Linked DNA regions of Ovis aries. The protein of the gene in region 2 interacts with the protein of the main gene of each other region in a pairwise test. Links are inferred from orthologs where the notes say so. Each region holds a gene or a part of one and is shown on either strand. Other genes may lie near its edges. The genes, in order: SFR1, EXOC1 and RESF1.

Evidence for each region.
Region 1: the proteins of EXOC1 (region 2) and SFR1 interact in a two-hybrid assay, tested with the Homo sapiens proteins (2 studies listed by BioGRID and IntAct). The link is inferred for Ovis aries from reciprocal best matches to the Homo sapiens genes EXOC1 and SFR1.
Region 3: the proteins of EXOC1 (region 2) and RESF1 interact in a two-hybrid assay, tested with the Homo sapiens proteins (2 studies listed by BioGRID and IntAct). The link is inferred for Ovis aries from reciprocal best matches to the Homo sapiens genes EXOC1 and RESF1.

Annotation. Positions count from the first base shown.
Region 1 is NC_056075.1:24,379,075-24,382,823, reverse strand, and holds the start of SFR1 (swi5-dependent recombination DNA repair protein 1 homolog), read right to left. Parts: upstream 2,737-3,749; 5' UTR 2,671-2,736; coding exon 2,658-2,670; exon of another isoform or gene 1,561-2,657; coding exon 1,445-1,560; exon of another isoform or gene 890-1,444; coding exon 479-889; exon of another isoform or gene 1-478. UniProt on the Homo sapiens protein: Component of the SWI5-SFR1 complex, a complex required for double-strand break repair via homologous recombination. Acts as a transcriptional modulator for ESR1.
Region 2 is NC_056059.1:71,998,244-72,001,992, forward strand, and holds the start of EXOC1 (exocyst complex component 1), read left to right. Parts: upstream 1-1,476; 5' UTR 1,477-1,631; exon of another isoform or gene 1,632-1,819; intron 1,820-3,749.
Region 3 is NC_056056.1:183,477,578-183,481,326, forward strand, and holds the start of RESF1 (retroelement silencing factor 1), read right to left. Parts: upstream 2,621-3,749; 5' UTR 2,586-2,620; exon of another isoform or gene 2,582-2,585; intron 1,326-2,581; 5' UTR 1,236-1,325; intron 1-1,235. UniProt on the Homo sapiens protein: Plays a role in the regulation of imprinted gene expression, regulates repressive epigenetic modifications associated with SETDB1.

The DNA.
Region 1 (3,749 bases), on a different chromosome or scaffold from region 2:
TTATTATATTTTTGTTGTTTTCTTAAAAGAAAATGCATGAAACATTTTAATAATTTGTTGGTAATAATTTAATTACACAAAATCATTACTAAAAATACTTTTTATTGTACTCTGTGGCCCATTTTTAGCCTTTTTCTCTTCACTGTCACTGTTGCTTCTGTTCTCATTGCAATTTGCAGCTAACATTTGAAACTTCTAATACTGCTGTGGGATGGAAACTAGAGGGAAAAGCTTCAACTGCATATTAAATGTGGGCTGGGGCTTTCAAAAATGTATACTTGGTGTTTAAGGCCTCTTCTCTAAATCTATGACTTATATTTGAGTTAAAGTTGTTGGAAGCCAGGTCTCTTGGTAATTGGCTTATTTCTAAGTATTGTAAAATAAAGTTGTATTTTCTTTTTGAAATATTTTCCTACCATTTATCTAAAAACAAACAAACAAAAAAATTATTAGGCAACGGCTCTGAAATTCTTCTCACCTTTGATCTATACATTTTGACTAGCTTCAGCCTCCGAAGAAGATCTTCTTTCTCGTGAATCTGCTTCATCAATTCTGCTTTTTCTTTGTTTAGTTCATGCTTGGCAAGATTCTCATTCATAAAGTCATTTTGGAGATCACTGGATGGCTCAGCATCAAGTGATTTAGATTCACAAACATTGATATTCTTGAAGGTATCTTTCAAATATGTACTTTCTTCAAATTCACTATCTATGTGTTTAAATTTTTCGTGAAATTCCAAACAGTTTTCTTCTGTTGAAGGTGCTGATTTCTGTGAAAAAGTCTGATCATTTTCCTCACTCTCTACTTTAAGCCGTTTTACCACACTGTAACAGGAATTAAATGAAGATCTGGTTTTCCTTAATCGTTCTCTAAGGGTTGCACTCATAGGCTGAAAAAGGCATCAAACGTTAATGTCAATCAAGAAAAACATTCTTGATATAAATAAATCTACTAGGAATCAAGACTACATTTCTGTGGCAGACACCACTAGATGGCTTTCTGTCTCCATATATCTAAAGTAACCATCACAAAATACCTTTCAATTTCTGGAAGCTCCACTAAGTTTTATTCTCTTTTTAAGCCAGCACTCTTCTACTCAGTAATCACAAACATTTGTTCAGCAATTAGTCCAAGCCTGATATGGTTAGGTGCTTAGTTACAAATTAAGGAAAAAGATCTTTCCACCAAAGACCTCCATGACATCAAACTTTTTGTTTGGAATGCTGTAATAACCTGAACTGAAAATAAATGAAAATAATTGAGTCAGGATGAAAATCTAAGAGGAAGGTCCAATACATTTTCTAAAAGGAAACACCTAAAATGATGTTAACAAAAATTTTATTTATTAACCTACACACTATTGACAATGTTCAGTAGACTTAAAACCACCATTACTGCAATACTTAGAAATATACATCCAGTGAAAGAACTAAGATTTTCATACTTGTTTTCTTGAACTACTTGAATGGGGAGATGGTGGATTGGCACCAGCTTGTGGAGTGCTAGGTAACATCAAAGCCGAGTTTGATGGACTTTCCATCTTGAAATCTTGCTTTACTTCTAAAAAACAGAAAATAATGACAAAACAGAAATCAACTTTGCCCACACCTCTATATATTCAATTTTAAACAACTTCCTTTCACTTAGCTGTGATTCATTCTTGCTTTTTTGCGTGCAATTTTCTGTTTACTTCCCTAAATTAGATTGTTGGTCATTATGGTGACTACTAGTTTTTTCATGACAAGTTACCCAGCTAGCATCTCATATAAACAACTCTCCATTTGTTTTTACTGACTGATAAAAGTCTCAAAACCTGCCATATGGTGGTGGGGCGGGGTAGGCGGGGAGGAGAATAACATTCAGGAATTCTTTAATCTCATTAAGCCAGTTTCACAATGAAGGAAAATGTAATTGAAATCCTTTAGTGCTTTAAGTGCAAATCGCTCAGTCGTGTCCGACTCTTTGCGACCCCATGGTCTATACAGTCCATGGCGTTCTCCAGGCCAGAATACTGGAGTGGGTAGCCGGTCCCTTCTCCAGGGCATCTTCCCAACCCAGGGATCGAACCCAGGTCTGCCGTATTGCAGGCGGATTCTTTACCAGCTGAGCCACAACAGAAGACAATATTTTAAAATTAAAAAAATATATTTATAACTTCTTTAAAGTGCTTTTCGGTGTTTAAATTGAGTTCATCTTATGCCTTTATCTATTGATTACTCTTCCTCTTGATTATGGATCACATTCTCCTACTTCCCACTACTATCCCACTTAAATAAACATAATCAGACCTGTCACACTACCCTAAATCCTAGAAGCTGTGTGCCTAAAACTAACGCCCCCCGGGGGTGAGGAATAAGGAGCACAAGCACAGGTAAGTTTACTCCTGTCTGCATCGTTTTCAATTAAATAGCGAAGAGACCGTGAAAAGGAGAGACTTAAGTTTCTCAAAGGCCATCAACTTTACAGGGTAAAATACCAGAGGAGCCCTCCCTCCCCTCCAGCCACTACAGAAGGCCCACACGAGCCCTCGAGACACCCAAAACCTGAGGTGGAGCTGAGAGGTGCCTTGACCGCGGAAAGGGAGCATTATTCAATTCCCCATCCGAACCCCGAAGAAGTTCAGCTGTCAGACACCCACCCCACACCCCGCACGGTACCTCCCTCAGCCATCCCCAGACAGCACAAAGAGCGCGCTAGCCGCGGCGCCGTTTCAGAGGCCGGGCCGCGCGGGAGGAGGAAGAGACGCGCGATTGGCCAGATTGATTGACACACAGGTCCTCTCCGCCCAGCGCCCGGAGAGGCGGGACTGCGCGCGCGCGGCCTCGAGATTCCGCAAGGGGGCAGGACGAAACGGAGGGGCCGTGACGCGTGATTGGCCGAGTTGACCGATACGCGCGGCTCTGCTCCGCCCAGCGCCCGAGAGTCGCGGCACTGCGCGCGCGGCCGTTTGCTGGGAAGAGCTTTAAAGCAACTAACGGTTCCCATGAGGTGCGCGCTTTTCTTCGCGGCTTCTTCTCGCTCTTTTTTCATACCGCCTTCCTTTGCAGCTTCCTGGGTTTTGTGTTTCTAAAGGACGCCTGAGAATGCCCCTCCTGTTCTCCTAGCTCCCATCAGTCTCTTCGCGCTCCCCACAGCAAAGGCCTTTTCTCAGATTCCACGGGACCCAGAGACTCCGGGCCTGCTGTGTGTTATATTTACAGCTTGTAAACTCCAAAGGCAAAGACTACAAAAAGATGGGTCAATGGCCCGTTGACAGTCAGACACATTAGAAATCTAAGAACCCCAGCGGAACCAGTAGAGCTTCTTTTAGACTGCTGCCTCAAAGTCTGCGGTCCCGCCACGGGTGGTTTTTTGTTTTTGTTTTTTTCTCTTCCTTCTTTTGGCGAATCTGTCTGAAAATTTAGGTTTCTTAGCTTGGCTCCGAATCTTTTCGTCAAACCTGAAAGAAAATGTAGCCCAAGGAAAGTCGTTGGGGTGCAATACAGGAAGCAGAACAATGACTAAGATTAGGTTGGTCCAAACCCTGGCTGAATACTGGGCAGTGGCATCCTCGGTCTAAAATAACCCTCCTCGTTTCCTGTGTAGCGAGGTTCCGTTGCTGTGCAACAACAAAGTGAACTAATTGGGTGGAGCACTGAGTTTGGGAAAAGACAGTTGAGTAATTTCTGAGTCACGTGGAAGTTGGGAATTTTAGCGGGGCAGTGTTTTGAATTCTAAGGAATAGCCATTTTAAACGTTGACACTGTCTT
Region 2 (3,749 bases):
ATTCTGATTTAACTCATTTAAACTCTCCATGCTATAACCTGCAAGTATCTAGATTTAGATTTAAAGCAAGAGAGTTTGAGAAAAACATCTACTTCTGCTTTATTTACTACACCAAAGCCTTTGACTGTGTGGATCACAAAAAACTGTGGAAAATTCTTCGAGAGATGGGAATACCACACCATGTTACCTGACACCTGAGAAATCTGTATGCACGTCAAGAAGCAACAGTTAGAACTGGACACAGAACAACAGACTGGTTCCAAATTGGGAAAGGAGTATGTCAAGGCTATATCTTGTCACCCAGCTTATTTAACTTATATGCAGAGTATATCATGTGAAATGCCAGGCTGGATGAAGCACAAGCTGGAATCAAGAGTGCCGGGAGAAATATCAATAGCCTCAGATACGCAGATGACACCACCCTTATGGCAGAAAGCAAAGAGGAACTAAAGAGCCTCTTGATGAAAGTGAAAGAGGAGAATGAAAAAGCTGGCTTAAAGCTCAACATTCAGAAAACGAAGATCATGGCATTCGGTCCCATCATTTCATGGCAAATAGATGGGGAGACAGTGGAAACAGTGGCTGACTTTATTTTGGGGGGCTCCAAAATCACTGCAGATGGTGACTGCAGCCATGAAATTAAAAGATGCTTACTCCTTGGAAGAAAAGTTATGACCAACCTAGACAGCATATTTAAAAGCAGAGATATAACTTTGCCAACAAAGGTCTGTCTAGTCAAGGCTATGGTTTTTCCAGTGGTCATGTATGGACGTGAGAGTTGGGCTATAAATAAAACTGAGCACCCAAGAATTGATGCTTTTGAACTGTGGTGTTGGAGAAGACTCTTGAGAGTCCCTTGGACTGCAAGGAGATCGCACCAGTCAATCCTAAAGGAAATCAGTGCTGAATGTTCAGTGGAAAGACTGATGTTGAAGCTGAAACTCCAATACTTTGGCACCTGCTACGAAGAACTGACTCACTGGAAAAGACCCTGAGACTGGGAAAGATTGAAGGCAGGAGGAGAAGGGGATGAGAGAGGATGAGATGGTTGGATGGCATCACCGACTCGAAGGACATGCGTTTGAGCAAGCTCATGGGAGTTGGTGATGGACAGGGAAGCCTGGCAAGCTGCAGTCCATGGGGTCTCAAAGTCCACAGGGACACGACTGAGCGACTGAACTGAACTGAACTGGTCTGATCTAGATTTAACTGAACTTTAGGCGTGCAAAAAAGAAAACATTTGATTAGATCTCTTCTTCAGTGAACTGTTGAAAATAGCTGAATAAATAAGTCTTCTAGAGAAAGGAATACGCACACCAAATCCCCCAGGTTCGGAGTCAGTCTCCAGCGACAAGGCCCGCTCCTGCCTGTCCTAGACACGCCCCTCCGGAGAGACCTGACCCCACCCCCTTACCAAGGCCAAAGCCGCGACTGCTTCCTTCTCAACCCAACCGACTTCCGGCAGGGAGGTGTGTCACGTGCCCGGATATAGGAAGTGGTGGCCGGACGGCTGCTTCCAGTTCACTGCTTAGTTGAGGGGTTCATCTTAGTAACGGTGGCCGCCCCAGTCCTGTCCGGTCTCCGTCTTGGAGGACCCGCCTCGGCACAGCCGGGCTCGGTCCGGCCTTGCGGTAAGCCTTCGGCCGCGGCTGCCGGGCGGTCCTGGCGGCGGCGGACAAATGAACGGAGGGGTGGACGCCAAGGTCTGAGGCGGCTCCTCAGTCCCGGTGCTGGTCTAGCGCCGGGGGCTGGGTACTGCTCACTCCGCCGTCAAAGCCCCCTTCTCTTTCCCAGCCCTTCTGGGTAAGGCGGAGAGGCCGGTGGGAGGATCCCGTTACCCCCTTGTTATCCTGGGGGGCTGGGAGGGCAGCCCAGACGTCCTTTTCCGGTTCCGCCCATGAAAATCAGATTTCATCGTAAAAAATGGTCTTGAACAGTTTGTTCTTTGGCTTGGACCAGGAGGGGAGGGTCTGGCAGTACCTTCCCTTTCTTTGTCCAAATCCTCATTTTCTTCTTCCCTGGTAGCTCAGATGGTAAAGTGTGTGCCTGCAATACGGGAGACCCGGTTCAATCCCTGGGTCGGGAAGATCCCGGGTTCAATCCCTGCGCCAGGAAGATCTCCTGGAGAAGGAAATGGCAACTCCAGTATTCTTGCCTGGAAAATCCCATGGATGGAGGAACCTGATAGGCTACAGTCCATGGGGTCGCAAAGAGTCGGACACGACTGAGCGACTTCACTTTCTTTCTTTCTTTCATTTTCTTCTAAATCTCATAAGTGCATTTCCCTGTTGCCATGCTGTGGCGTGTTATCTTCAGTGCTCCATGCACTAAGGTGTCTGGATAGCAGACAGGGTACTTACCCACACGCACTCACTCTCACGACAGTACTGCTTACAAGTTATCTGCCACATCCTGTAGTGATCCGGCTGGATTTAAGGAAACAAGGACCGACATAGAGTATTGTGGCTGACTGTCTCTGGAACGTGGTCAGACATGGGTTCTTATACCTGGAAAATAGTTTTAAAGAACTTCTAATGATTTATTCACTGACTTACCAAAAAAGTATTATAAACACTGGAGAGTTACTCACGCCATCTTTATAAAGTAGATGCCGTTGGAGGCAAGAATCTTCCTGTCTTCGTGGATGAAGAAGTGAAGTGAAGTCGCTCAGTCGTGTCCGACTCTTTGCAACCCCATGGACTGTAGCCTACCAGGCTCCTCTGTCCGTGGGATTTTCCAGGCAATAGTACTGGAGTGGATTGCCATTTCCTTCTCTAGGGGTTCTTCCCAATCCAGGGATTGAACCCGGGTCTCCCGCATTGTAGACAGACGCTCTACCATCGGAACCACCAGGGAAGTCTTCCTGGATATGTCTGTCATATTCACCATGGTACCTAGAATTTTGCCTCGCACTTAGTAGGCATCAGTGTTTGCTGAATGTGTAGTGCTTTTCATTCTGCCTAACTCCTTTATCAACTGTGCTGAGTTCCTCTCTTGTTTTTACCACTTAACCATATTGTCAGTCCTTGCTTTTGACCAGAGAGGGATTGGGTGATAGATGCTGACCACTAATAGTCATTTATTCATTTAACCAGTTTTTATAATTCAGCTTAGATTTCCTCAAGAGGTATTTGTTTAGCACTTACAAAGAACATGAAACTGCTAAAACACCTCCTCCCCCAGCCATCCCCCCGTCCCTTGAAGAGAGTTCTTGAGATCCAGGAACTTGTGACTTTATGAACCAGTTGGACAGCAAGTGTTGTATGTTTAACAAATGCAATAAGTGATATAGCAGTTGAGAGGAGAGATCAATTTGGGTTAAGGTCTGTATTGAATCAGTTCAGTTTATTTGCTCAGTCATGTCTGACTCTGTGACCCCCATGGACTGCAGCGTGCCAGGATTCCATGTCCATCACCAACTCCCAGAGCTTGCTCAAACTTATCTCCATCAAGTCAGTGATGCCGTCCAACCATCTCATCCTCTGTCATCTGCTTCTTCCTTCAACCTTTCCCAGCATCAGGGTCTTTTTCAAGGAGTCAGTTTGTTGCATCAGATGGCCAAAGTATTGGAGTTTTAGCTTTAGCATCAGCCCTTTCACTGAACATTCAGGACTGATTTCCTTTAGGATTGACTGTGTTGAATCAAGTTCATGTAAATTATGGAATGTTGTTAGGATTTGGGTAGATGATACCCTCTGCATGGAAAATATCCTAAGCAAAGATTTAAAGGCTAGAATGATCAGAGGGCT
Region 3 (3,749 bases), on a different chromosome or scaffold from region 2:
GGGTAGCCTATCCCTTCTCCAGTGGATCTTCCCGACCAAGGAATTGAACCAGGATCTCCTGCATTGCAAGCAGATTCTTTACCAACTGAGCTATCAGGGAAGAAGGGTCCTGTATATCCAGAACAGGGAACATAATGCTTTTGGACAAATCTGCCCTGGCTGGAAAATTTTGTAGAAGCATTACTGACTTCAAACATGCCTGCAGGTAAAAACTAGAGTTGTGCCTGATACTTCCTTACAAAAATAGAACTTACAGGATCTACAGGGAAGGGTTTAATCAACACAAAGCTGATAAACTGATTTAGAGTTTAAATGAGTGAACCATCTCCTATAAGACAGGCCATAAAATATATTTCCTCTAACATGACAACAGCTAAAATTTATTAAGTACTTACCATTTACCAGGAGCTGTTCCAAGTGTGTTATATCTACAAAACTCATTAACTTACCGTAACAATACCATGAGGTTGATACTATTGTTATCTCTATTTTACAAACGATGAGGAAACCGATACAGAGAAGTTTAATAATTCTCCCAAGGCTGCATAGATGGTAAGTGGAAGAGCCAAGATCTGATGCTCAGCAGTGTGACTGCAGGGACCATGGTCTCAAATCATTACAGCAAGTTTCCTAATACTACTTGGGAGTTTACAGAATGGACACCCCAGAAATGATCACTTTGGCTGTACAGGTCCCTATTTTAGAGATTGGTTCTCTCAGAATTCTGCTCTGTGCTGCCTTATCCCATGTGCCACAAGAAATGAATTTGAATAATAAAATAAGAAACAGACCATGTAGAGAATAATGTTAAGTAGACCTCTTCCTCAGTAATTTAGACCATCATCTATTCCTTTTCTAGTAAAGATGAATAATATGAATTCCTTGCTATGTCAACTGTATTATTTCTCCTCAAACTTTGTCATCAAATCCTTTGTAAGCTGGTGGTGGTCTTAGCCGCTCAGTGCTGTCCAGCTATTTGTGACCCCAGGTACTGTAGCCTGCCAGGCTCTTCTGTCCACAGAATTCTCCAGGCAAGAATACTGGAGTGGGTAGCCATTCCCTTCTCCAGAGGATCTTTCCAAGCCAGGGATCGAACCCAGGTCTCCTGCATTGCAAGTAGATTCTTTACTGTCTGAGCCATTGTAGTTTAATACTGAACCAATACTGGTTCAGCTTAATCATTCTGTTCCATAACAGATAAATTAGAGTAGACTACTCAAAGCTGACTCACTTACCTTTAAATACATTACTCCTTTATTACTGTATGTTACCATTTCCCTCCAAACTTGTCAGTACCACTCCACACAGTGTTTACTTCTTTGGTCCTAGGGACAGCAGTAAACATTTTATAATTGACAATAAATTCAATATAAAATTTGTAATTGTATTTTTATTTATATAAAATTCACATTAAACTTATAATAAAGATACATACTAATTTGCTTACTTGATATGACATTGCCGCTCAAACTGTGTTAAGGCTGGATCAAAAGCAAACTAAGCTTACTGAATTCTTAAGAAGACAAAGTAACAAACAGAACTGGGTCTGCTGTAAATTACCATTTACTTTTTAAGTTATAATTCAACTGCACGCCTCCTGATCCACTCCTTCTATCACTCTGAACACTTTCAACTTAACAATTCTTTATCGAATTAGTAAATGAGAATCCAACTGCACAGGAAAAAATAAAACGCTAACTCTTTCATGTTAACACCGATTAGAACTCATCTGATTTAGAGTTAACGCATCAATCAGAAAAATCCCCGAACAAGCTCCGCGACCCGTCTATTTAAATGCACCCTAGCTCATCCCCTTCACCTACTCTTTTTATTTTGAAGGCAAGCATTAAAATATTACAAATAAATTGTTTTCACTGAACCATTCTCTGAAAACTTGCTGTTCCCAAAGGACATCTGCTTAGGAAATTCGTATCCCTCGAGAACATCTAAAATCGGTACGCATTTGTGCATTTAAAAATGCCTCGAGGGACTAACTACTGCTGAGGAACGGAAAGCAACTCCAGCACAAACGTTGTTTGCGGGCCACTTGGAGACGCAAGCTGAGCAATTTTGTTTTGGGAGGTTCGGCCTAATGGGGGTGGGGAGGAAGGGAATACTGGAAAAATAATTCAAAACAAAGATTTTTTTTTTCAAGCCAGCGACAGGAAATCATTAAAAACATAAGCCACTCTCACATCCATCAGTCTAACCAATCGCCTTGCAGTTTAACAAAATGCGTCCTCGCAGTCGCCACCCGCGACCTCTATGGTGAGGAAAGGCGTTCTGCAGAAAACACCCGGCGAGGCGCCGCCCTCCGATTAGGGGTCGACATCCGCCCCGGTTCCCGGCCCTCCCCGCGCGGTGGGCGGGCACCAAGCCGAGCCCGACGGGCCAGCCCTCACCGCTGGCCCGAGACCCGAGCCCCCGGAGCTGCCGCTGAGTCCCCACCACAGAACAAAAGCACTCGCCGCCGCACACCCAGCCCTCGCCTGCGGGCACTTGGGCTGCCGGTGCCCCACCCCGCCGCGCCGAGAACCCGAGGAAACGTGCGAGTGCCGGCGGGAACCAGGTCCCCACTTACCTACCGGAGCTGAACCCAACCTGGGCGAGCGGGGAAAACGCAGCGCCTCTCGGCCCCGGAGTTTAAGTCAACTCGGGTCCGCCTCCAGGGGCGGGTCGAGGGGGAGGCCCACTCCCGGAAAGCCAACCCCGCCCCGGCGCAACGGCAGTAGCGAGACCTGGTATCCGGTACCGGGGTCCTAGTGCCGCTCGGATGAAGTAGAGTCCGGGGAGCCCGGTCCTCCAGTTTCTCCCAAGCTTGCACAGCCAGCTCATGTATCTGAAGAAGAAAACTTCTCCAACAGTGGCTGTCTTTAACTTACATCAGAATCTTTTGAAGGTTGTTAAAAAGGGACTGAAAAGCACCACCTACAAAATTACCCATTCAGTAAGTCTAACTCCGGGGTGAAAACGTATATTTCTAACAAAGGGGAACATCCTTTAACAGAGAAACTTTCTCGAAGGAAATAGACTCTTTTTGCCTGAAGGTTTCTATAGATCAAAGTTGTGAAAATTAATACAGTAAAGGGAAACCTCACCAAAATAGAGTTGAGAGGCCAGAAGGGGGAGCTGTCATACAGTTCGGTACCACTCTCAGTAAATTACAGAAAGAATTGTCAATTACAGGGCCCAACAGGAAAAGATGTAAGCTGTCCAACAAACTTTTTGACCAACCCATACATTGCGGCTCCTAAAAGAAATAGACTACCCCACAACTCAGCCAATGAGAAACTGTCACCCTCACTTTTCCCCAATGATATTTCCTTCAAAAGAACTGCTCCCAAACTCAATTTTCTCCATAAAGTAACTTTGCTTTGTTTGTTGGACTCTGGCTTTTGCTACAGTTTGCTTGACCCAAATTGCAGTTTAGTTACCAAATGCAAACTGACACTGCCTGCTGCATGACTTGCCAATAAATCGAGGGGCCAGTTGTTGGAACAAAGAATAGTGACTTTATTCAGAAAACCAGCAGACAGAAAAGATGGCAGACCAGTGTCCCGAAGAAACATCTTAAACCTGAATTAGAATTCAGGCTTCTTTTATACTAAAGGGGGAGGGAGTGTGGTTGGCTGTTGCAGGTATGAAGGTGTGACCTTCTTGGTGCAGGTCATACCCCCAAGGTGATGTGATAACCCTCTGCTCCTGCAGCTATCCACATAGGTCTGGTTATGATGGTCCTGTAAACATAA